Linked DNA regions of Drosophila melanogaster. The protein of the gene in region 1 purifies or fractionates together with the protein of each later gene. This does not show direct contact. Each region holds a gene or a part of one and is shown in the gene's direction. Other genes may lie near its edges. The genes, in order: Cortactin and mim.

The links.
Region 2: the proteins of Cortactin (region 1) and mim purify together in Drosophila melanogaster (affinity purification with western blotting, with the first as the bait; one study listed by BioGRID). This does not show direct contact.

What each region holds. Positions count from the first base shown.
Region 1 is NT_033777.3:21,053,793-21,066,002, reverse strand, and holds Cortactin (cortactin), read left to right. Parts: upstream 1-1,531; 5' UTR 1,532-1,580; exon of another isoform or gene 1,581-1,639; 5' UTR 1,640-1,708; intron 1,709-1,891; exon of another isoform or gene 1,892-1,894; 5' UTR 1,895-1,938; coding exon 1,939-2,105; intron 2,106-2,173; coding exon 2,174-2,577; intron 2,578-2,668; coding exon 2,669-3,777; 3' UTR 3,778-4,323; downstream 4,324-12,210. Other genes in the region: Mvl (malvolio), read left to right, coding at 7,536-7,742, 7,803-7,987, 8,052-8,216, 8,289-8,427, 9,153-9,308, 9,377-9,535, 9,594-10,039, 10,101-10,216 and 2 more.
Region 2 is NT_033778.4:6,963,858-6,975,887, reverse strand, and holds the start of mim (missing-in-metastasis), read left to right. Parts: upstream 1-4,250; 5' UTR 4,251-4,995; intron 4,996-12,030. Other genes in the region: Ufsp1 (UFM1 specific peptidase 1), read left to right, coding at 1,019-1,597, 1,660-1,785; Cyp6u1 (cytochrome P450 6u1), read left to right, coding at 2,059-3,100, 3,159-3,583.

The sequences.
Region 1 (12,210 bases):
TTTTGCAAATGCACTGAGCAATTCACTTAGTAATAAACCTTGATGACACACCTATTCTACTATAATTGCACGGCCTCGAGTACACTACTACTATATTTTGTGGACGGTGGAATGTGGCCACATCCGATTCCGGTGAGTAATGCTGAGCAAGGCACAGGCGCTCATACACAGTGCTTACTGTAGTTTGAAGTGCCTGTCGGGCAATTGAAGTTGATTGAATTACTAAATTAAGCAGGGCACTGGGGGATAGAGATATTTCGAAAAATTCCGCTTCTCATTCCTACGTAAAATGGGAAAGCAAGAAAGGAACAGAAAAGTTTACTTAGATTTCGTCGGAGATGAGAAAAGTCACACGCGTCGCGAGAGAAAACGCCAAAAGAGTGGGGCTTTTGCTTTTGAGTTTGATGATGTCATCTTTCGGTTTTGAATTTTTCTCCCACCCGAGGCTTTTATTATTGAAATATAAAGTAAATAGAGAAACAAGATTCTGGAGAATTCTCGCGATACCGCACCCACAACTAGAATTCTACAAAATGCCCATTTTGGAATGGCACAAATGAAAATTATCTTTGAGTGTTTAGCACACACTTTCTTTTCTCACTTTTCCGACTGATTTTCCGCTTGATTTTTTGCGATTTCTGGCACAGCGAGAGTAAACAATGAGTTTTATCTACAAATTCCTTTTGATTTACCAATGATATTCGATTTTCAACGTACAAGTCAGACGATGCGAACTGCAAGCGATGTGAATAAATACCATAGCTGTTTGCGCTCCGTCTTTGGCTTTTATACTCGCGCTCTCTCGCTGGAAGTCGATTAGAGATGAACCAACCGGCGATAGGTTGTTGTTGCTAGGAAATATTCGGTGGTAGCGCCTAACTGGAAGCTGGTATCTTCTGCGTCGTCATAGTATACACCGTAGAATCTAAAGTGTTCCGAGATGGATGAATCATCGGCATTGGAAGCTGTTGAGACATTCATGATATTTCCGTTGTGATAATGACGACATTGGGAAAATAAGATCTGATTACGCATTGAATTTCAAAATGTAACCTTTGACTTCAATATTCAGCCGTTAGGGCAATACAGTTAAATAAATATCCTGTTCCTTCCTAAGCCGTTTTATAACTATTTTTATTTGTATTTTTATAACTATATATAAAAACCAATTACGTTAATTGTCAGCCGACATCGAAGCAAATTCAAATCCAAAACTATCGATATATCGATGATATGTTTGCGGTTATATGAAAAAAGTCAACTCTTATACCTGTTAATTACCGTTCTGGCAGAATCTTATTAATTATACAAATTACTATGGCGCCACTTGGTATAACATCAAATACCTTTTGCCCGAGCACTCAGTTCTATTGATCACGATCACATATATTGGTACTGCAGTATATATCGGTGCATTGACTTATCGAATAAAGTAAAAGAACCACGACTGTATCTCTTAATCATTTAAATTGGGCGCCCCTAAAACTGCAGCAACTACCTTTTGTCAAGCTCATCACAATAATTTATCGGCTTTTCGTAGCATATCGATGCATCCATTGTATCGAATGAAATTTAGTTCAGTTAGTTTCCCGTTTGTTGGTCTCTTTATGAATCAATTGTTTAACCCTTCTCCTCCCAGAAATTTGCAGACATCCCTAGCGGCATCAGATCATAAGTTCCTCTTGCAGTAGGAGTTAGTCATCGGGATGTGAGTATACATATGAACATAGAGCGCCAGTGGCATCTTGTTCCCGATCCGGCTTTGTCGGCCCCTCCCTTCTTCGGTGTTTTGTGACTTGTTATCTGGGCCACGAATCGGAAGCGGAGCCCCTGCAACTGAAAACCTGCCCCGACTACTCACACTCGTCATGGTGTTTATCTATCTACCCAGCAGATAAGGATAAGCGAGTAACCAGCGACCAGAAACCGGTAAAAAGAATGTGGAAGGCAAGTGCCGGTCACCAGATTCAGGCCACCAGTGCAGCCTCCGCGGAGGACGACGACTGGGAGACGGATCCGGACTTCGTGAACGATGTCAGTGAGCAGGAGCAGCGCTGGGGATCAAAGACGATCGACGGCAGCGGTCGCACAGCAGGCACCATCGAGTGAGTCATCCGAAATTCTCGAAACACTGGGTATCGGGTTCATTGTTCCCTTTCTTTATTCTTTTTAGCATGGACAAGCTGCGCGAGGAGACGGAGCAGGCCGATCTGGACAAGAAGAAGCAGCTGCTGAAGGATCAGAACGCAGGATACGGATACGGGGGCAAGTTTGGCGTTGAGAAGGACCGCATGGACAAGTCGGCTGTGGGTCATGACTACCAGGGCAAGGTGGGAAAGCACGCCTCGCAGAAGGACTACAGCGATGGTTTTGGGGGAAAGTTCGGAGTGCAAGAGGATCGCAAGGACAAGTCTGCCGTGGGCTGGGACCACGTCGAAAAGGTCGAGAAGCACGCCTCCCAGAAGGATTACGCCACCGGCTTCGGAGGCAAATTTGGAGTGCAGTCCGATCGGGTGGATAAATCCGCCGTGGGCTGGGATCACATCGAGAAGGTGGAGAAGCACGAGTCTCAGAAGGGTAAGTTACCTAACGGAAATGAATTTCTCATTGATTTTTTCTTAGTATGTTCATGTCTGATTATTTTATTTATATCTTCTCCCAACATAAGATTACTCCAAGGGCTTTGGCGGCAAGTTTGGCGTTCAGGAGGACCGAAAGGACAAGTCCGCGGTGGGATGGGACCACAAAGAGGCTCCGCAGAAGCACGCCAGCCAGGTGGACCACAAGGTCAAGCCAGTCATCGAAGGTGCCAAGCCTTCCAATTTGCGTGCCAAGTTCGAGAATCTGGCTAAAAACTCCGAGGAGGAGTCACGTAAGCGGGCCGAGGAACAGAAACGTCTCCGTGAGGCCAAGGACAAGCGGGATCGGGAGGAAGCCGCCAAGAAGACTGTGGCCGAGAACACTCCTCGTACCTCGACGGAAGCACCGCCTCCAAAGGGCAGCAGGGCGGCCATCCAGACAGGTCGGACCGGTGGCATTGGCAATGCTATCAGTGCATTTAACCAGATGCAGTCGCCTGTTTCTGAAACCCCTCCAGCACGAAAGGAACCCATTATCATTCCCAAGGCGCAGCCTGTTAAAATAGAATTAGAAGCAAAGGAGGAGCCAACGGCAAGTACAACATCAGCTGCGGTTGCTCCTACTCCGACAGTGGTCCCCGCTCGAGAGCCGGAAACAGCTCCAGTGGCCAAGGCTGCAGCTCCACCACCAGATGTGGTGCCCCAAATTGAGGTTGAGACCGTGGACACGCCTCCCAGAAGTGAGCCGCAATCACCAGTGTATGTGCCGACGCCTCAACCCGAAGTCCACGCCCAAGTCCAAGTCCAACCTGAGCCGCAACCTCAAGCCGATCCTGAGCCAGTAGTTGAAGAAGAGCCACTGTACCAGAACCAGGCCGAGATTAAGGCTGCCTCGCCCTTGCCACCAACGAATGGAACCGTTTCAGAGGCTGTTGCTCCGAGTGGCACCGCAACCGTTCCCGAGGAGGCAATCTACGCGAACTCAGACAATTTGGCCGACTATCTGGAGGACACCGGAATCCACGCCATTGCCCTGTACGACTACCAGGCGGCGGATGACGACGAGATATCCTTTGATCCAGATGACGTGATCACCCACATCGAGAAGATCGACGATGGGTGGTGGAGGGGATTGTGCAAGAACCGCTACGGACTCTTTCCAGCCAACTACGTGCAGGTGGTGGGACAGAACTCATAAAAGCTTCCAATTGAAATTCACGATAGAACAAAATCAAATTGTATTTACATACTAACGAAAACGATAATACTGATGTTGGATTATAAACCATATAAACCAATTCGCAACTAACCCAGCCCATTTCCCATCCATTGTTTACCCTCTTAACCCTCCAAATTATGTGCAACGAATGGCTAGATATTGAATTATTATTGTAATTTGTTATGCTAGCACTTAAAGTAACCGTGGTATTCCATTTTTGATATATGTATCATTTATTGCATTTTACATTCTTTGTATTTAACACATTTATTTTACCAAGAAAATATGCCAAGCTATTTTAGATATCTCTCATTTCATATTTTATGCATTAGTTATGATATTTGTGTCAAGTAACGATTTTGGTTTTTTTGAATTGTATAAAGTCTACGAGAGTTTCCCGTGTCAGGTGATCTGATCTAATGTTAAAGACGGATCTAATGTTGAAGACAGTCACAAACAAAAAGTCTGCTCTTTTGATAAAGAAATACATAATTAATAAAGTTAAATAATAACGAGTTCTCTCTTAAATTGTGGTACTGATAGTTCGGGTGTTTTTGTTTTTTTTTAAGGCCTAACAAATCATTTTACTAAGTAAAATGATTTCATTGGATACGGGAATTCACAAATTTCTATAAGAAGATAAGAACGAGCATATTGTTGGGTTCCTTCTAATATCACGAGGATATCTCTATTTTGGGGTAGAACTGTCAAGGCCTTTCTTGGATGGGCCGAATTCTTATCTGCCTGTTCCGAACGCATCGTAATCTGGCAAAGTAGAAATTGTTACATGAAACGAGCTACTGACATGATTCATGGTGCAAATGTGAGTGCATATGGGCTCAACAAAGAAAGAGTACTTTGCATTGTGGTGATTAATTAGTTAAAAAACATACATAAGTAGGATGTACGGCCATATTGTAAATTTGAGCGCCAATCCCAAAAAGACTTGATAAGATTTATCGCAATTATTGGCGACGGATCGTAATCGAAAAAAGTGTCAGACGAAATCAAAGTTTTGACTGATAAAGTTGATGTATAAATTAAACTTCAAGGAGGTATTACGATAAAGTGTGCGTGTTGGTAATAACGTAGATATTATTAACTAGTGATTGTAACTCAAAGGGTATGCAACTTAACTATGTATCCCGCATAACATTTCTAACGGTAACCTGCGGTCGATGTACAAACCGGTATTTCAAATGCATGTTCAAATCTTAGGCGGTATTTCTGGGGCCTTCAAAAATCCAAATCTCAGGCCTTATCAAAAAATCTCCCCTCAAAAAAAAGCAGTGGTCTTTCTCCCACGCACACACTCTCTCTCTCTCTCTTTCTGTCTTTCTTTTTCTCACTTGCCGACGCGAGAGAGAGATATTTTGAATAAATAGGGGCTACCGCAAAATGCTATAGTCAGTCACTCGATCGCGTGGGCTCAGAGTTAAAACTTCAGTTTGGCCGATAAGGTTAGTACTCTTGTCGAGTGTTGCCAGATTTCGGCAAGTCAAAGAAGAGAGAGTGGCCGCAGGTTGCCACATTGGGCACAGACGAAAAGACAGTGTGCATGTGAGAGGCGAGTGAGTGTGCGTGCAAAAGAAAGCAGCTGGTGGCAGAATCTCAAATATTGTGAGGAAAATTAATAAACAAAGAGCTGCGCTCACGGCTGAGCACAAATTGCCTGCACGCTCGTCAATTGTCGTTAACTAAGTCAGCAATTGGCAGCCAAACCGTCCGCTTCTTCGTCATTTCTCTGCTTCGTTTACTGCGACCATCACCACTCTTGTTTCGGCCGTACAACGTCACGGAATTCGTAAATTTCGTAAATTGCTCCGCGAGAAAAGCAGGAAAATGCATTTATAAGCTGCCACAAGTGCCGAGATTGTGATATAATAAAGGCGAGGGCTCCAATTAGTTAACCCCCAGTTGCAAGTAAGCCATTAACTGGTAGGAAGTGCTGTTTAACCTGAGTTGCCCAATAATTTACATCTCCATCAATATTTCGTGTGTGTGTGTGAGTGCGCACGCAGGTGTGCGCTAATAACAAAAACAACGTGGTGCACCCTCTCTCCGTCCGCTCTCCCTCTAACCGGCAAAGAGAGTAATGTATAATTCTTAACCGTAAATAACCGTAAACAGAAAACAATTGTTGACAAGCTATTCGCACTTTAAAATCCCCTAACAATGGATAGTTTTCCAGACACAATTCACTACTTTTATTGCCAGCGAGAACTGTCATAGAAATAACTATTTTAGGCAGCGGAAATCGTATAATTACTGTTTTAGTTTTTTTTTTTTTAACAAGCGACTTAACAATGTGGGCTGATAAGTATTGCTCTTCTATTTTCAAATTACTGTTATCTGCATTTGTCAATTTTTTGTTGTCAAGTGTTTTGTTTCGCCTGCTTCAATATACAATATAAATTGCTTTTGCCCGCTGACTGCGCAAAATGGTACGCAGTTTAAAATATATATTTTCTCTAAATAAACTCATGATATTTTTTGGTGCCACTTAATTTGGACTCTTAATGGAAATGGTTCGTTTTTTTTTTTTTTGATTACCAATTGTCATAATTTACAGCGTCCAACTGGGCACTAAAGTGGCAAAGGAACACGTACATAAATATGTGGCTGATTATACACTTATCGGCTAGAATTCCGCTTTTGGGGGCGTGGGTATTGCCATACAACTGGGTAAACAGAGCAGTCTGCGCCACACAATATAACACAAAAGTGTTCCAATGAACTAAACACCCTCCTCCGACATTTCGTTGTTACACATTTCCTTCGAGCCACTGCAGCGCGATTTAAGCTCCATTAATGGCGGCTTGATATGGCCAACTCGGTTACTTATAGTATATGCCAAATGTACCCGTCCAAGTGCCACATATAATGTGAAGTAGACATTGCACGATGCTCTCGAGCTCTTTGTCTTTGCTTGCTCCGATTCAATCATCAATGAAGCGATGTGGAAAGCCTTATAGCAGATATGTAGCATCAGTGGGGCAGTCGCGTTTGTCAAGGTGAGCCACTTGGCTCTACATTCAATGTATTGCGTTGAAGAGCAGCCAAGACTGCTCAGGCATCTTGTATACGAAATGCACTTGTAATCGCTTTTACCAAATAAACAGTCCAAAATTTCACATCGATACACGGGTCAATGGACTCGTGTTTATGTTCAAGTAGTCTTGTTTTCGACCATCCATATCTATACGACTGCAAATGCGAAATATCTGCAAGTTCTCTGGGTAAATTGGGCAGAGGCATTTCAATTACTGGACTTCATGAATCACTGAGCTCGTTTTATTTCCTTATATACCCGCATAATATAAGCAAATTTCAGTAATATTATGGACGCGTTATCAGTTACCCCCGAGCTAATGCCTCTCGAACTATTTATTGTTTTCATATTTTGCCACGCGCGTTTCGGAAAAAATAAAACGTGTTACTGTGACTTTGCTCTTGATTATGGTGAAATCCCCAAATAAAACTATATGGTGCAAAAAACTTAATTATAGCGCAAAATTATTTTGTTTGTTGTGTGCAATATGATAATGCTAATTGAGCTAGAATCACACACAGATGCTCAATTAAATGAAAATGGTGGGAATCATAAGCTGATGCCAGGTGAAACAATCAAATAGAAAATACAAATTAGAGTAGTCGACAATGGGCAGTGGACGGGAATATAGCAGCATGTGGAAACTCGAATTAGGTCCAGTCTAACCTCGCCTCTTCTGTGCAGCATGTCTTCGAATGAGGCCTACCACGAGCCGGGTGCCGGTGGAGATGGACCGGGCGGATCGTCTGGCGCATCCGGCGGAGGAAGTCAGCGGAGCAACCAGCTGCACCACCAGCAGATACTCAACGAGACGACCTACCTGAAACCCGCCGCCAAGCAGGCCTACTTTAGCGACGAGAAGGTCCTCATACCCGACGATGATAGCACAAACGTAAGACCCGCTTGAATAGCAATGCTACTCAAACTTTATCTAATATCTGGTGATCTGCAGGTGGGTTTCAGCTTTCGCAAGCTGTGGGCCTTCACGGGACCCGGTTTTCTTATGTCCATTGCGTATCTGGACCCCGGCAACATCGAATCCGATATGCAGTCTGGTGCGGCGGCCAAGTACAAGATCTTGTGGGTCTTGCTGTGGGCCACAGTCCTAGGTCTGCTCATGCAACGCTTGGCTGCAAGGTAATTGGGTCTCCACACCTTGCAAAAAAGATGATGATATAAGCGTTTATTATCTTCCTGGCAGACTGGGCGTGGTTACAGGCCTGCATCTGGCCGAGATGTGCTACAGACAGTACAAGCGTCTGCCACGTTGGATACTGTGGATAATGATAGAGATAGCCATTATTGGATCCGACATGCAGGAGGTCATTGGCACGGCCATTGCCATATACCTGCTGTCCAACAAAGTGTAAGCAAATCTAATGAGCGGATTATCGCAGTACCCAGTACTCATGCATGCGGTGCTTTCCCCATTTTGTAGAGTGCCTTTGTGGGGCGGAGTGTTGATCACCATTGTTGACACGTTCACGTTCCTGTTTCTGGACAAGTACGGTCTACGCAAGCTGGAGTTCCTATTCGGCACCCTCATCACCATTATGGCTGTCTCATTCGGCTATGAGGTAAGTTTAAAATGCAAAGTTGAAAAAAATAACTTAACTATAAAAAGTAATCGCCAAAATCAGCAAAAAATCCCCTTGCCAAATGACAATAAAGTAGTCAAGAGAATAAATTACCAGACGTGAGTGCAAATACGAATTGTTTAAACAATTGCAACGACCGCAATGGCAAATAATTTGTGAGATGCCTGTTTAGGTTTATTTTAATGATCGCTAGTAGTAAATTTACATTTGACTTGTCGATTTCTGGATGAAGTTAGCCCGTTAACTAGCCCCATATTCTTACTCTTAAGTTTACGACCGCATCATGTTAACGGGCCAGATTATAAACAATTGTACTTGAGCTTTCTGCCCCAGACGGAGATGATTAGATAAGCTTCACTCGCACACTAAATGGGGTTCTGAGCGTGGGTGCTGGATACTTCATCTTTTGTTTGCCAGGCACATGATGCTGCCGGACATGACTAACAATTCCAGATGGGATGTGTAATGCCAGTCTTATCAATTAGATTATACAATGCAGAATTGTACAATTACCGATGGTGGTTTTTGGAGATAATTACAATGGAAAAAAGTGGGGGTGCCTCGAGGGGATTTTTCTACGAGTAACAAGTATTTTGTTATTTCTAACCAAATCTCAATATAAGCTAGGAACAATTTGTTTTCTCCCCATAATCATTTTTTAAATGGTTTTAAGTCATAATTAATTTATTTTTCATATCTTTCAGTACATTGTATCAGCCCCTAATCAAGGAGAAGTTCTCGAGGGAATGTTTGTGCCCTGGTGCTCTAACTGCAATTCGAATGTGTTGCTGCAGGCCGTGGGTGTCGTGGGTGCTGTTATTATGCCGCACAATCTCTACCTGCATTCCGCCTTGGTTAAGGTATAGCACAACTAGCTTTTTGTGACTTCGTAATTAGATACCAATACATAACAATTTTCTGTTAACAGTCCCGCGATATAGACCGTCGCCAGACAAAGAAAGTTAGTGAGGCGAATTTTTACTTCTTCATCGAGGCGTCGGTAGCCTTGTTTGTGTCCTTCATCATTAACCTGTTTGTGGTGGCTGTGTTTGCCCATGGCATGTATGGCAAAACTAATAATGATGTGGTAAGTAGACTTTTGAATTTATGTGTAAAATGATTGCTAACTCTTTGTGGGCCAATAGGTTGAAGTGTGTAAAGACAAGTCGATGTACGAAGATGCCAAAATGTCTTTTGTGGACAATGTAAATGGAACCGCGATCATCGATGCAGATCTATACAAGGGCGGACTTTTCCTTGGCTGCACATTTGGAGCTGTCGCCATGTACATTTGGGGTGTGGGCATTCTAGCTGCTGGCCAGAGTTCCACCATGACGGGCACCTATGCCGGTCAGTTCTCAATGGAAGGCTTCTTGAATCTGCAGTGGCCGCGCTGGTGTCGCGTGCTGGTCACGCGCTGCATTGCCATTATTCCCACCTTCTGCCTGGCCATGTTCAGCAAGATGGAAGATTTGACTAGCATGAACGATATCCTGAATGCGGTGATGTCGCTCCAGCTGCCATTCGCTGCCATACCCACCATCGCCTTCACCTCGTGCGCCGCCATAATGGGCGAGTTTGTTAATGGACTGTAAGTGATACAGACACTTTTAATTGATTATCGTGCATTCTTTAAATTTTTGTATTCACAGGGGCAACAAAATCGTATCCATACTGCTCACCATTGTAGTGATTGGCGTTAATTTGTACTTTGTGGTGGTGCAAGTAGAGAATATGGAAATTAAAGGCGGCTTGCTGGCACTAGTCTGTGAGTAGTCAATTGCCACAATTTAAACCGAATCTAATGTATTTTTCCTTTTGCCAATTGCAGGTATTTTTGCCATTTTGTATATACTGTTCAACCTCTACCTTGTGATACACATGGCTGCCTGCATGGGCAATCAGCGTTTGATGAACAGCCGGGTAAGTACTTGGCCGCAACTAGTTGGGTCACTTATCAAATGGGCTTAGAGAATCACAAATTAGGCGAACTTTTTGACACATTTTAAAGCATCACAGATACCGCACTGAACGGACTGACTTTATCAAATTACGTGACTGACCACATATGGTTCTTGGGGGCTTTGAGGGCTTATGCCTACTTCATCAACTGGTACTCAAGGTATTCTCTGTTTACAGTGGGTGCAGCGTTTTGTGTTGCCAAGCCAGAACAGCTTTTCGATAAAGAACGCCAACTCGACGTACGCCAGGTATGTTCCCGATTTTTGATTCCAACCATTCAACCATATAACCATCCAGAACACACTCGAATGCACAAACTCTCTCGATTTGCATCTTCTTCCTTAAAAGCATTCTCTGCTAACCCATTGCTTGTGATTAAGTTTTTTCCCGCTCTGCTTTCAACCAAATCGGCCTAACTTCCTAATGATTCTAATCTTATCTCATCTGTACTTACTTTCTATTTACTAATCTACATTTGGTTATCATCTCTGAACTAAAACTAAACCCTCAACCCGTATTTTGCTGTGCTCTCTTCTTTCGATTTTTCACAGTGATGTAACCTTAGTTGTAGGCGATTCAGCTACTAACACGGTGAAAGGTCTTGATACCGTCTCGGAGAAAGTGCCTAACTGAATCATCCCGGTGACTCAATCAGGCCACACTCCCCCACACACCCTTGTGATATTAACACTAAATCACACGCTTAACACTACTAACACGTACCTAGTAGGGCTCTACGCAACCCTTAGCATTTGTAAGGCATGTCTTTAGGGGAACTACGATTGTACATAAAAAGCATTTACCCATCAACGATGGGGTCCTATAGATTATAAGCTTGACTGTGGTAAGTCTTCTATGATTGCTTTATCGAGCTATGGGTATTATGTACTCATAAAGCTTTGGCGCTTAGCATGTTAAATAAAGTTGCAGTTATCACTAAGTATTACTCGAGAAGTCTTTCAATTTATTGGTAATTGGTATTTGACCATAAGTGCGAATATAAGCCATTTTACGATTGGAATTTGATTGCACAAGGATTGTACAAGGAATTAGAACGAAATAAGGAAACAATTAGTAACTAAATGTTATATTTGCTTAAGTATTAAAATATATTAGATTATTTTAAGTATATTTTTCGTAATGGACATAAAGCACATTGGGCGTGGCTCATTTATCACCCTAATACCACTAAAATAACTAGAAATCCAAATAAATGTGGGTAATTTTCGAATAATTTTGTATCACAACATATTTCTTTTATTATATGTACTTGGAAACCCTGCACTCTCTCTGTATGTGTCTGTGTGTTTCACCACTGTCCCTCTCACTATCTTATACACCATACACCCTACTCTTATACTCGGTGTGTCTACAACACGACTGGATTGATTGATGTTTTCCGTTTCCCATTCATTTGTGGTTAATTGAAATGTGCCAAACAATTGTACAAAACAAAAACTACAACAAAATCCACCAACTATTTCAATTGACAAACACAAAAACAAATTTAAACACGAACCCACTTTAAACACGCACACATGCAACGACCACAAAAATGTGTTTTATTTCTGTGAGGAAATGGATTTTTTGGCATTGATACAAACCAATTGAAATTACTTTTTGAAACTTTTGATTGAAATTTTTCAAAATTCCCAAAGAATTGCGCATAATATGCAAAATTTCAATGCAACATAAGCCAAGGCAAAACCAAATCGAAGCCAATTGAACTGGGTAAATCGAAATTGATCAAATGTAGAACGCGTGCCATGACCGTTGAAATAACTAAAAGGGTACCCAAAT
Region 2 (12,030 bases), on another chromosome or scaffold:
TTTCTGTTACATGATTTTTAAGAGCACAATAACAACAAATCGTGGTGATATCGCTAAATATATTTAATAAATGTATTTTATGATTGTACTTATAATTTTCAATCGACCTCTTTTAAACCGTTGCTGGCACAAACCAAAAACGAGAAGATAACAAAACATTTAGACGCACGACGTAATTAAGGTATTTTAATTGGTGCACAGACACATATTGCAAACGGCATCCCATATATTTATTGTAAAACTCGGCGAAGTTATCCAAAATGCATTTTTAAGCTAACTTTAAAACATTAACAAAACTGCAACTCAGTAACAATCAGCAATCCGAAAATAGTTGAAAACCAATAATGCAAATATTTCAATTTTACAAATCGTAGTTTATGGAGTGCTACAAATTTTACCAATTATTAAAAACGATGTACTAATGTTTGGTCACCAAAAACTAAAAATTAAACGAACACAATTCAAGGGGAATGGTGTTAATATATAAAGCGTTGAGACACCCACACACATAAATGCGAAAACATATTTATGAACTCTAAACACAATAATGTACATTTAATAATTCAAATAAAATTTGAAATGCATGAGAAATAAGAGAAAACCAAATAGATGCGTTTAAATTTAGGCGCTACAAACGGGCTGTTATCGATAATTCGATGAGAGAGTTGGTGATGGATAATTGTAGTAAAACAATTATGACAACATTGCTTAATATAAAAATATAAATTTTATCAAAATTTTGGGCGGAATAGCCTTTCATCATGACTCATTCTTATATTCGTTAATTTTATTTTCCGCATTATTGTTATTTTATTTTGGCTGACTTTGTCATTGGTGCATGACGATTCAGCTTGTACCATCTCTAGCCAGAGCAAAAAAAAAAACATTCCAATTTCTTTGCTGCGATTTCACTTTCACAAAACAAATTACGGCTGCCCAAGGTAAATAAACAAAAAAGAAAAGGAGCAGGTGAATCAGGCCTAGGCTATCAAATTACTCAGTTTCGAAAACAATTCCTATGGCGGCGGAAAAGTGTGCAGAAGAGTTTGGGGACTCCTCCGCGGCGTCCTTGAAAATTGTACCAAAGGACTATGCATATCCACTTCTAGAGGATCCGCAAGGCGCGCTGACCACGCCCACTGAAGGCGGGCGGACGCTAGTTACCCGCGGTGGCTTTAACTACTTCCACTACGGATGCGATGGCCACCAGGATGCTGGCTGGGGTTGTGGCTACCGCACCCTGCAATCGGCCATTTCCTGGATCCAACGTCGACAGGGGTCGAGCGGTCATGTTCCTTCCATCCGGGAGATTCAGCAGATCCTGGTGGCCATCGGCGACAAGGGTCCAGAGTTCGTGGGCTCGCGCGACTGGATCGGAACGCTCGAGGAGTTCTACGTGATCGATGTGCTGCACCAGGTGCCGTGCAAGATTCTTCACGCCAAGGAGCTTAGCTCGGACGAGATCCTCGGCGAGCTTCGGAGCTATTTTGAGAAGTACCAAGGCTTCGTCGCCATGGGCGGTCTGAGTGACACCGCCTCCAAGGCTATTACCGGCTACCATTGCAGTGCACGCGGTCGCATCTTCCTGCAGGTGGTGGTGAGTCAGCGAATTAGCTCATTTTATGAACTGGTGAACTAATCGCTCGCTTCCCTTTTTAGGATCCGCATTTCGTAGGCGTGCCCAGCTCCCGGCAGCACTTAATCGATCTGGGCTACGTTCGTTGGGTGCCCGTTGACGAGTTCGCCGGCAGCACGTACAACCTCTGCCTCATCTTGCAGCCGTAGTCGCAACTCTCCGTACCTATTTTAGCAATAAATCCCGCTCAGCTCTTGATTACTATTACTTACTGAAAGTTGCCTTATAGCCACGTTTCTCTTCCATTTTAGCGGCCGATACTCAATGGACCTTATCAATTATTAAATCGGACCGCACGATAATGGCGCTGATAAACCGGCGGCATTGAGCCCCAGAACCTCGACAAGCAGCTACTGCCAGCTGTTAAGCATATCAAACAGCGCGAACATATTGTAAAAGCCGGAAAAGACAGCTGAGTGAGCATGGATCTAATGCACCGCACCCTGCTCACCGCCCTGGGTGCGCTGTCAGTGGTCTACGCCCTGGTCAAGTTCAGTCTGGGCTACTGGAAACGGCGGGGGATCCTGCACGAAAAGCCCAAGTTCCTGTGGGGCAACATTAAGGGCGTGGTGAGCGGGAAGAGGCATGCCCAGGACGCCTTGCAGGATATCTACACCGCATACAAGGGCAGGGCGCCGTTTGTGGGATTCTACGCCTGCCTCAAGCCGTTCATCTTGGCGCTGGACCTGAAGCTAGTCCACCAAATAATCTTCACCGACGCGGGACACTTTACGTCCCGAGGCCTTTATAGTAATCCCAGTGGAGAGCCGCTGTCGCATAATCTCCTTCAGCTGGACGGTCACAAGTGGCGGTCACTGCACGCCAAATCTGCAGAGGTTTTCACTCCGGCCAACATGCAGAAGCTGCTGGTCAGACTGTCGCAAATCTCCTCCAGAATTCAAAGGGACCTGGGCGAAAAGAGCCTTCAAACTATCAATATAAGCGAACTCGTGGGTGCATACAATACGGACGTTATGGCGTCAATGGCCTTTGGACTAGTAGGGCAGGATAACGTGGAGTTCGCTAAGTGGACGCGCAACTACTGGGCGGACTTTAGGATGTGGCAGGCTTATCTGGCGCTTGAGTTTCCGCTCATCGCTCGCCTTCTTCAGTACAAAAGCTACGCAGAACCTGCTACAGCTTACTTCCAAAAAGTGGCCCTGTCGCAGTTGCAGTTGCATCGAAGAAGGGATCGCCAGCCACTCCAGACCTTTCTGCAGCTATATTCCAACGCAGAAAAGCCGCTCACCGACATCGAGATTGCGGGCCAAGCCTTCGGCTTCGTTCTGGCTGGCTTGGGCCCCCTGAATGCCACCCTAGCATTCTGCCTCTACGAGTTGGCCCGCCAGCCTGAGGTGCAAGATCGAACCAGGCTCGAGATTAACAAGGCACTGGAGGAGCATGGTGGCCAAGTGACACCGGAGTGCCTAAGGGAGCTCAGGTATACGAAGCAAGTCCTCAATGGTGAGTACCAAATATTGAAAAGCTCTTTATAGCTCCAATGACTTCACCTTTTTTTTAGAAACGCTTCGCCTGCACACTCCACATCCCTTCCTGCTACGCCGGGCTACCAAAGAATTCGAAGTGCCCGGATCGGTGTTTGTAATTGCCAAAGGCAACAATGTGCTGATACCAACGGCGGCGATACACATGGATCCTGGCATTTATGAAAACCCCCAGCGGTTCTACCCGGAGCGCTTTGAGGAACAGGCAAGGCGATCCCGCCCGGCAGCTGCGTTCCTGCCTTTCGGCGATGGCCTGCGAGGATGCATTGCCGCTCGCTTTGCAGAGCAGCAGCTTCTGGTGGGCCTGGTGGCTCTGCTGAGGCAGCACAGATACGCTCCCTCTGCGGAGACCTCGATTCCCGTGGAGTACGACAACCGGAGACTGCTCTTGATGCCCAAGTCGGACATCAAACTCAGTGTGGAACGGGTGGACAAGCTTTAAAGGAGGCTCTGCTGGAGCATCGCATATTTTGTATTGTTTGCTTTACAAAGCGTTTAAGTTGTTTTTATATTTGTATATGCACCTTTTTCGTTGATTTTCCTAAGCTGTGGACTTGTGTGATAATGCTGACGATGACTTTTATAATCTTTTGCACCAAGCTCAACAACGTGAACAAATAAATAATTTAGTTGTTATATCGAACACTTTCATACCATCGGAAAATAGGACTCTTAAAAAGAATTCTATGCATAAAAGGTGAATTTGCAGCAAATGCAGAGGCCATTATTTAAAGTAAACGACGTTAAATTTATATAATTTGTTTTCAATCTATAGAATTCATGGTTTTCCAAATTAACACTCATTTAGCCCGAGTGCTTAGTTAATGTCTTCGGCACTTCCGTTTCCTAGGAACTCTACTCTAAAACATGAGTTATTCTCTTCAAATTTTTATAACAAAATTTTTGGTTTTTTATTCAATTGACTTTTATGTCAACTGGAACATCGAACGCGCCAAAAATAACCATATTTTCAATTTTAAAAGTTTGCATGATAGGTAACATTCCCGATTCGCAGAACGGTTAACAGCGAATGTGACCTCGCTGCCAAGTGATTTTTCCTAGACGTGGTCACACTACAGAGGTGTATTTTCCCAGCTTCGAGCGATGGTCACACTGACCCAGACACTCGACTCTCGAACGAATCGGTCGCGGTTGTTTTACGGTTTTTTGTTTGTCTATAGGAAAGCCCTTTCGCACCGGAGGAAAACGAAAATGCGCTCGGAAAGTCAGTCGTAGACTTGGCGAAAATAGCGGTTGCAGCGGCAAACTTCTAACTGTTTTCTAACCGGAAAAGGAATGCGCGAACCAATTGGAAGTGCAGTTCGAAGTGCGAGCATATAAGTGTCAGATTCGGTGCAAAAATAAGCGAATAATTGTTTGCGATTTCCCGAGGAAAACGGAAAATTAAGCGTCTGTCTGCCAGCCCACTGTGTGCGTGTGTGTACGTGTGTCTGTGAGTGTATAACATAACAGAAAACAAAACAACAACAACAACAGCAGCAGCAGCAACAACAAGGCAGTCAGGATCAACGGTTCTGGGGTAGTTTGTTTGAGTTTGAACAAAGCAAAGAAAAGCAAATGCAAAAGCAAAGCACACGAAACTGGGCGTAAGAAGGAGAGAGAGGAAATAGAGGGGAATAACGGGAGAATACACCCCGCTCGCACTCACAACCGCTTCTATCCTTTGTGTGCGCTTTTGCCGCCTGGAAATGCAATGCTAGAACAACAACAACACCGTGACCGCAGAAGTGCAAGCATCAACATCATCGCCTAATTGTCTGCAACATCGTCGGCCGAAAAATCAAGCAAGCTGCATAAAGTCGCCCTGCGATATTTTACAGTCGGAAGTGCACCGTAAGTATCCTTCAAGAACAACAAAAAGAATCGAGTGTGGGCTAATAATGCCAATTACTGGGGTTGGGAGAGGGGCGAAGAGCGTTGGCTAGGGGGATGGAGTAAGGGGAGGGAATGGAAGCTGCAGTTCACCAACAACAAGTTTGGACCGATTCCAGGTCCAAGGACTTCCAGTGACCATTCCAGGCGGTCGTGAGAACCGAAAACTCCGTTCACGGCCAATCCAAACAGGATTTGTTATACACGTTAAAAAAAAGGAGTTTCATAAAAAATGTTTAGGTTTTATATATTTGTAATTTTGTTTTGAAGAAAACATATCTTTGATGGCCAGCAACATAATAATAATAATAATTTCTATAACAAAATCAACAACCAATTTCATGTAACTAATTCTTTTTGTAAGATAAATTAGTGAATTATTAAACCTCTTGAAGTCAAACAATATACATTTAGTGATTTTTGACAAATTGTGCCAATGAAGTGCTGTGAAGTGTTTTCGGTCCACAAAATTTGTGCGAAGTCAGATTTTCCGATTTTTCGACTGCCATAAAGTTTTCTCTGTGCACAACTCCCCTTTTGAAGTTGCGCGGTAATTGCGCAAGTGCAGGGACTTCTCTTTGGACTGTGTTACCTGAACTCGGTTTATCTGAACAAGCTAATTTTTTGTCCGACTCCGAATGGGTCGTTTTTTCGCGAGGTGGCGGCTTTGTGTTCCTTTCAACCCGTAATCGCAACAGGAACCGGAGCGGCACGTTGACACCCATGGTGCGGACTAAATGCTCGAAAGTTGAGTTCCCATTCCCGGCTCCCTTATCGCACGTCTCGTTCTCTTTGCATACCTTTCAAACGACTTTTGTGCGCGCCGTCAAATGGAGCAGATAAGCGTAATTATTAAAATATTATTGCCGGGGTTTGTTTACGTCCCGGGAATGTTTTCTCGCGCATTTGTCTAAACAAATGATGCAGAACTTTCCAGCAACGGAGACCGTTTGGCCTGAAATGTCGGCCGGTGCATTCGCCAAGTCGCTATATCGTATATACTATACGCTGCTTAGACACAAAGTAGTACTCAAATTCGAAAGGATGCCTTGGGCTATCTGATTCGCGTGGAGTAACCCAATCCGCAAACCATCCAACTGCCGCACCTGTGCAATTGCCAAAAACGAGAGAATCCAAAACAACAGAGGGTCTCAGAAAGAAAGATAAAATTAGCCACAAACAGCTGTCGGCCATTGGCAAGAAACTTGCTCCTGCACCGAGAGAAAAAACCTGTATTTCGAACGTGATCGTTTGGAGGAAACCTAAATGTTTTACCTAAATTGGAAAATCATACATTTTGATATACTAAGAGAAGGAAATTAATGTTCCTTCTTACTAAAATGATAAAAATATAAAAATAAGTGAAATATTATAATTTGAAAACGAGCAACTTTTTTCGGTGATCTTACTACGCTTATATAAACAGAAACCAGGCACTTGCGCCTTAACAAAATGCAAACAGAAATTCACAAAAGCAGAAAAACAAATACCAGTGAATATAAAAAAATATTGTGTCCTATGGAGAAAGGCCGCTCCAACTGACCAACCCCCACCTCCACCTCCGTTGCATAGAAACAACAACATTCTTTCACAAGCACGAGAGCAAGGCCAAAACAAAGGAAAAACGTTAACTGTTTGTTGTGCAAATATGTTTTCTCATTGATGGTTTTCGAAAAATTAATACTCGTAATATTTTGAATGTTCTTTAGCCTACTGTAAACACAAAACCCCCATTCAGTATTTTAGCTGGATCACTTCAGTTCTAAAGGCGCTAATAGTTTTTCCCACTAAATGTAAAATAATTGGTACATTATTCATATATCTTTAATACTCGCCTTTCGGAACCGCTGTTACGTCCTCTTTACATTATAATGCGGCAACTGTTTTCAATTGGTAAACAAGAAAAAACGGCTGAAAACTTGTAAAACTTTTAAGTCACTTAGCCTGAATGTCTGCATTTGTTTAGCATGTCGCTGCGCTGCTGCAATTCGAGTTTCTCGCTGCCCACTCACAAAAAGATTTTCGTTTTCGTTTGATTGGTGAACTGCATGGGCGTTCCTTGTTGTTTGAATGAATCTGAGTTCGAATGAGTCCGCGACTCTAGACTGCTGGATCGCCCACTCGAGTGGAATCTTTCGTAACCACTTTCGATTTTCGGGGTTCGTCCTAATGAAAATCGTGTCTAATCCAACCCGAGATTCGCCTTCGCCTCAAGCGGTTTTCACTTGGGGTGGGCTGCGTGCGGCTGAATTGCGCTGGCAGAGAACGTGGAGCTCATTAAAAAGTATAAAACTTTATCGCCGCCCTGGGTGAAAATGTCAAGGGTTCAGGGTTCTGCGAGAAGTGAGAAGCGACACTAAAACGTATTTCCTTCAATTCTCGTTTCTTTTCCGCGAGTTATGGCGGGGCTGGGAAATTAGCAAAACCAAGATGCCTGAGCAACTGGCATTTTCTTATGCAAGAAAAACAAAAGCTGGGCAAAGCTTTTCACGCTAACGAGACTGGAAAGGCCGGAGAAAGGCAGAGAAATCCCCATTGCTGATGGCCACAAAGCTGTCATGAGGAAGGCAGAAACAAAACGTGCTGATGGAACCAGCAAACAAGAACATAACAAACATGACAAAGTACGGAGTAACATGTGCCGGCTAACGGCACTCCGGTTAATCATTAATAACCATTGGCCATGGCCAAAACGCCCAGAAAACCGGCAGGAGAGCGGGAGTGGTTGTGGTGTTAATAATAGACAATGTTCTCGGGCCTTTGTTAAAATTAGTAAAAGCAAATTTACCCACCTTAACATTGAGTTGTCGAGAATTTCCGCTCTCTAATGAGTTGAGATGAAGTCGAGAACAGTGAATCGGTTTACCTCAGTGTGAAGAAATATACTAATAAGCTCTTCCTATTTTAATTTTTATTTAAAATAATAAAATAGCTGACACATTAGGTGCCTGCACACTTTAAATGAAACTTATAACAAGAAAATCAAATAGAGAAGTGTGTTTAATTGCTTGAATATCTTCTCGATTGAATTAAATTATGTAGAAAATCTATAAAGTAGGCTACACCTAAGACGTGGTTGTGTTTTTTATTAAAATGACTAATCCGCTGAATTTCGAGTGGAAATGCGCTGGAAAAGAAACAACCCACCGCCATGTTTCGCCAATGGGTCATGTTGTGTATCTCGACTTTATTTTCGTTTCGGCTGCCTTGCCATGTGTAAACATATAATTTTATGCACAAATCGATTAAACGCCGCTAAATGCCGAAAGTTTATTTCGGGCGGGCCGTTGTGTTTACACATTTGTGGGCGTTTGCATTGCGAAATGAGTTTTGTGCTCCACATTCTCCTGAATTTAATTTTCTTCGGTCAGCTTCAGCCGCTTGATAACTTCCGATCGATACTCATCGATTTCCACATTCGTGGCCAAAACAAACGCGTGTTTACAGTGCTACTGATTAGATGGTGAGCCTATCAAGAAGGTGGGATGCCTATCAGCTTCAATTATCGATGAATTGGCCTATTTTACAGCGTGTTAAATGCGCAGCCCGCGAATTATTCAATTAGATTCGAATCAAAGTAGCCTTTGGAGTGAAATAGACAGAGATTTCTCAAGGCATGCTTGCAAACATAAACACTGAGTGTTTTCCTTTTCGCTATATTTTATTCATAGAAAATTTGGGTTAATGACGTGCCATACGCGTCAGTGGGTGTTGTCGAAGGGGGGGGGGGGGGTTGGCATTCGGGGGGAGAGAGAGCTAAAGCAGATGCCCTCACAAACACAAATCCCAGAAACATCAAATAGAAAATGCAGTGCAAAGCACAGATGACGCTAAAGATAGAAACCCATAGATAAACATCAATGTTTGAGCAGATGTGTGTTTCTGAGTTTCTGCTGGTGACGTTGTCGATTCTGTTCATATAAAACTTGATCTTTTGATTATCATCGTTTTATGCGTTCTTTTCGCTTTTCTTTTCATCGCGCGACCACTCGACACATTTCATTCGATGATCGGCGCTTTCCTAACCCCGGAATAGAGGAACCAGACCCCCTACTCAAGACGAGAGACCCCAAACTCCAAGCCCCCAGACTAAGATCAGGCCGAGGCATCTCGACACTTGGCTGACCACAGATGGCCGCAGTTGTTGGTGTCAAGTTGTTGATACCACCCGTAGTAGTTGTTGGTGAAAGTGTAAAGTCATGACGGGCCGTCCGCTGGTGATGCTGCAGCACAATTTGCCGGCCACAATGTATCGCTTACCTTACAACTTATAAAACAACACATAAATCCGCTAAAAGCCAGCCTGACATTGGAGATTTTCGCCGACACCCGCACTTCACTTTTCCTAGTATACAAATCTCCAAAGGCAGCTGTAAAATTATTTGTTTTACCAAATCCCAACCAGAACTTATGGGGCACAAGAAAAACAGAACTTTATAGGCAGAGTGGATAGGAAAGTATCCGGCAGTGCATTAAAGTGGTGGGCTGGGAATTGTAAGTTTTGGATCTATTTTCAGGCCTTGATTCTTTGCTTGATTATTTATCATATTCAACATGGACCATTCTGAGAGATATTTCCTTAGAGTGTTAGAGAAACTTTCAGCTCAGCTTGGAAAAACTCGAGAAAGTACAATCGTTCGTATGGTTCATTGTTTATGCAATCTTTACGCATAAGCTATCAGTAATTATTTTTAGAATAGCCGAGGAAGTGGTTTCAAAGTGAATTAATGTGTCATTATGCGCTGAACAGCGGAACAGCGTCAGGGGACTCCCAAGTTCTGGTTTAGTCTCCAATGTTATTGCTGCAACACGTTGTTGGTCCACCCTAATGCTGCTCATCTGCATTTACGCCTAAGAACGCAGTATGCAAGGGGGAAATTCAAATGGGACAGAAATGGCGGTGCGTGTGCTCACATCTTTGGTAAGCAATTAACGGCAGCAACTCTGTCTGTCTGTCGCCCTTGACAAAAGTGTGTGCCACAGTTGCCCCTCTCTGCTTTCCGTCAGTCAAGTCACTTCTTGCAATAGAAATCCAGACAACATGCAACATAAATGGTATACAGACAGGGTACAGATGCGGCCAAGACAATAAAACAGCGATAAAATGTAATTTTTTATAAGTTTACCATACTTACATCCAGATATTTATGAAGGAAGCCAATGATAAATCTTAATGAATTTAAAAAATTGGTAACTTTTATTTAATTTATTTAGTGCTATTGTTTTTAGCCTATCTAAATAGTGGCTATGTCATTTTTGGGCAAAATGTCCACAGATACATCCATCTTTCGTTTCTTTATGATTTGATATTAAACACATTAATATTATGGTCTGACCTTCTGCTGTGAAGCAAACGAAAATGAGTATTCCCTGGCTGGTGCCCTCCAACTTCCTGCCCATTTCAACCAAAGCAGCTTCCGTTTGTTTCAATACACAAATCTCGGAGAAACCGCAGATACAGAGCCGCAAAGAGAACGGCAGTAAATAGGGCGGAAAATATGCGTATTTGAAACTAAAACGCATCCAGCATAATCATCAGTCGCAGGAACAACGCCACTGCGTCATCATTCTCATCTTGACATTTGAGCGAGTTTTTATGCGGGTTGCCTTCCACAACGTGCCCCTTACACAATATGGCCCATTTTCCACCGTTTTGAGGCTTGGAAAAAGGTTTTGCTCTTCTTCTGGGGCTACTTTGCGAAATTGTCGTTTTCCTGCTTTTGTTTTTGTTTTTGTTTTTTTCTTCACGATTTGGCAATTTGGACTTTGGCTACTGCCGCCGAAACAGATTTCCCGATCGCATCACGATCTGCAGGCCTGACCTTAGGCTGGTTGTATGGCCCATGCTCTCTGCGAATTTCCCAAGCCCACAATCGCGAGTTCATCGCTGTGCTGAGAAAAGCTCCTATTTCCGCCGCAGAAGTCTCGTAGACCCAATATAAGCATGCACTACTTGTCCAACCAGTTTGGGCTTATGATTTAAATGCAGCCAGTTAACTGGGTCAATGTTTCGTGTATATACATATATGCATCTTAAACCAGATTTAACGCACTCAATTGCCGAAAACAACAACAAGTTATTTCCGCACTGCAAAGGAAACTGCAACACCAACAATACCAACAGCCCCAACAACACCAGCAACACCAACAACATCAACAACACCAACAACAGCGACAACAAAGCCGGCCTGTCATCGTTTGCGTTGTAACCACAATTTTATCTCGAGAGGTCATTTACACTATTCAGCTAAAAAGAAGCTAGCGAACAAAAAGAGAGGCAGCAGAAAGTCTACTTGTACTTCCACGATGTTTGTAAGAATGTGCGTCAGTTTGTTTTGCTGCAAGTTTCGTATGAACCATCTTGATACCCTTTTCTTATAGGGCATCTATCTTAAATGAACACCAAAGTAACAATTTTAGGAGGATGACTAGATAAATCGATTTTATTTGTCTATTTAAACCATGTAGATTCGCTATTCAGATCAATCGACCTTTGGATTGTCTTAAACATGTATATTTTGATACTTTAATTTCCATATCAATGATTATTACATTCAATAAACTTTGTACTACGATCATTGCTCGATTTTAAGTACGTATTCAGTTAAATTAGCAAATGCAAATATAGACGTATCTATGATTGCAACGATTTTTCTTATGTTTTCGCTTTGTGGTTGAAGGTTTGCATACATACATATATAGAGAGAAGTTTGTTCTCCTCATTTTCCGAATGCAGTTATTCCACTACTAGTAATCTCTTAGTCGGCAAACTTTTTCGCTTTCCTTCTTTTCCGGCGAACTAGCACTTTGATGCTTTCTTCTGCGTCTTCACGCAGACATAGACGAAAGATACGCAGTCTGGGCAATCAGCTCTCGTTGTTGCGTCTGTTTATCACTGTGCTTCCTCCACGCTTGAGTGTCTATTGTGAACGCTTTCTGAGTGCAACAGAGTTGCACAGACAGACGCACAATGAGACGAACAAGCACTTGTATCCG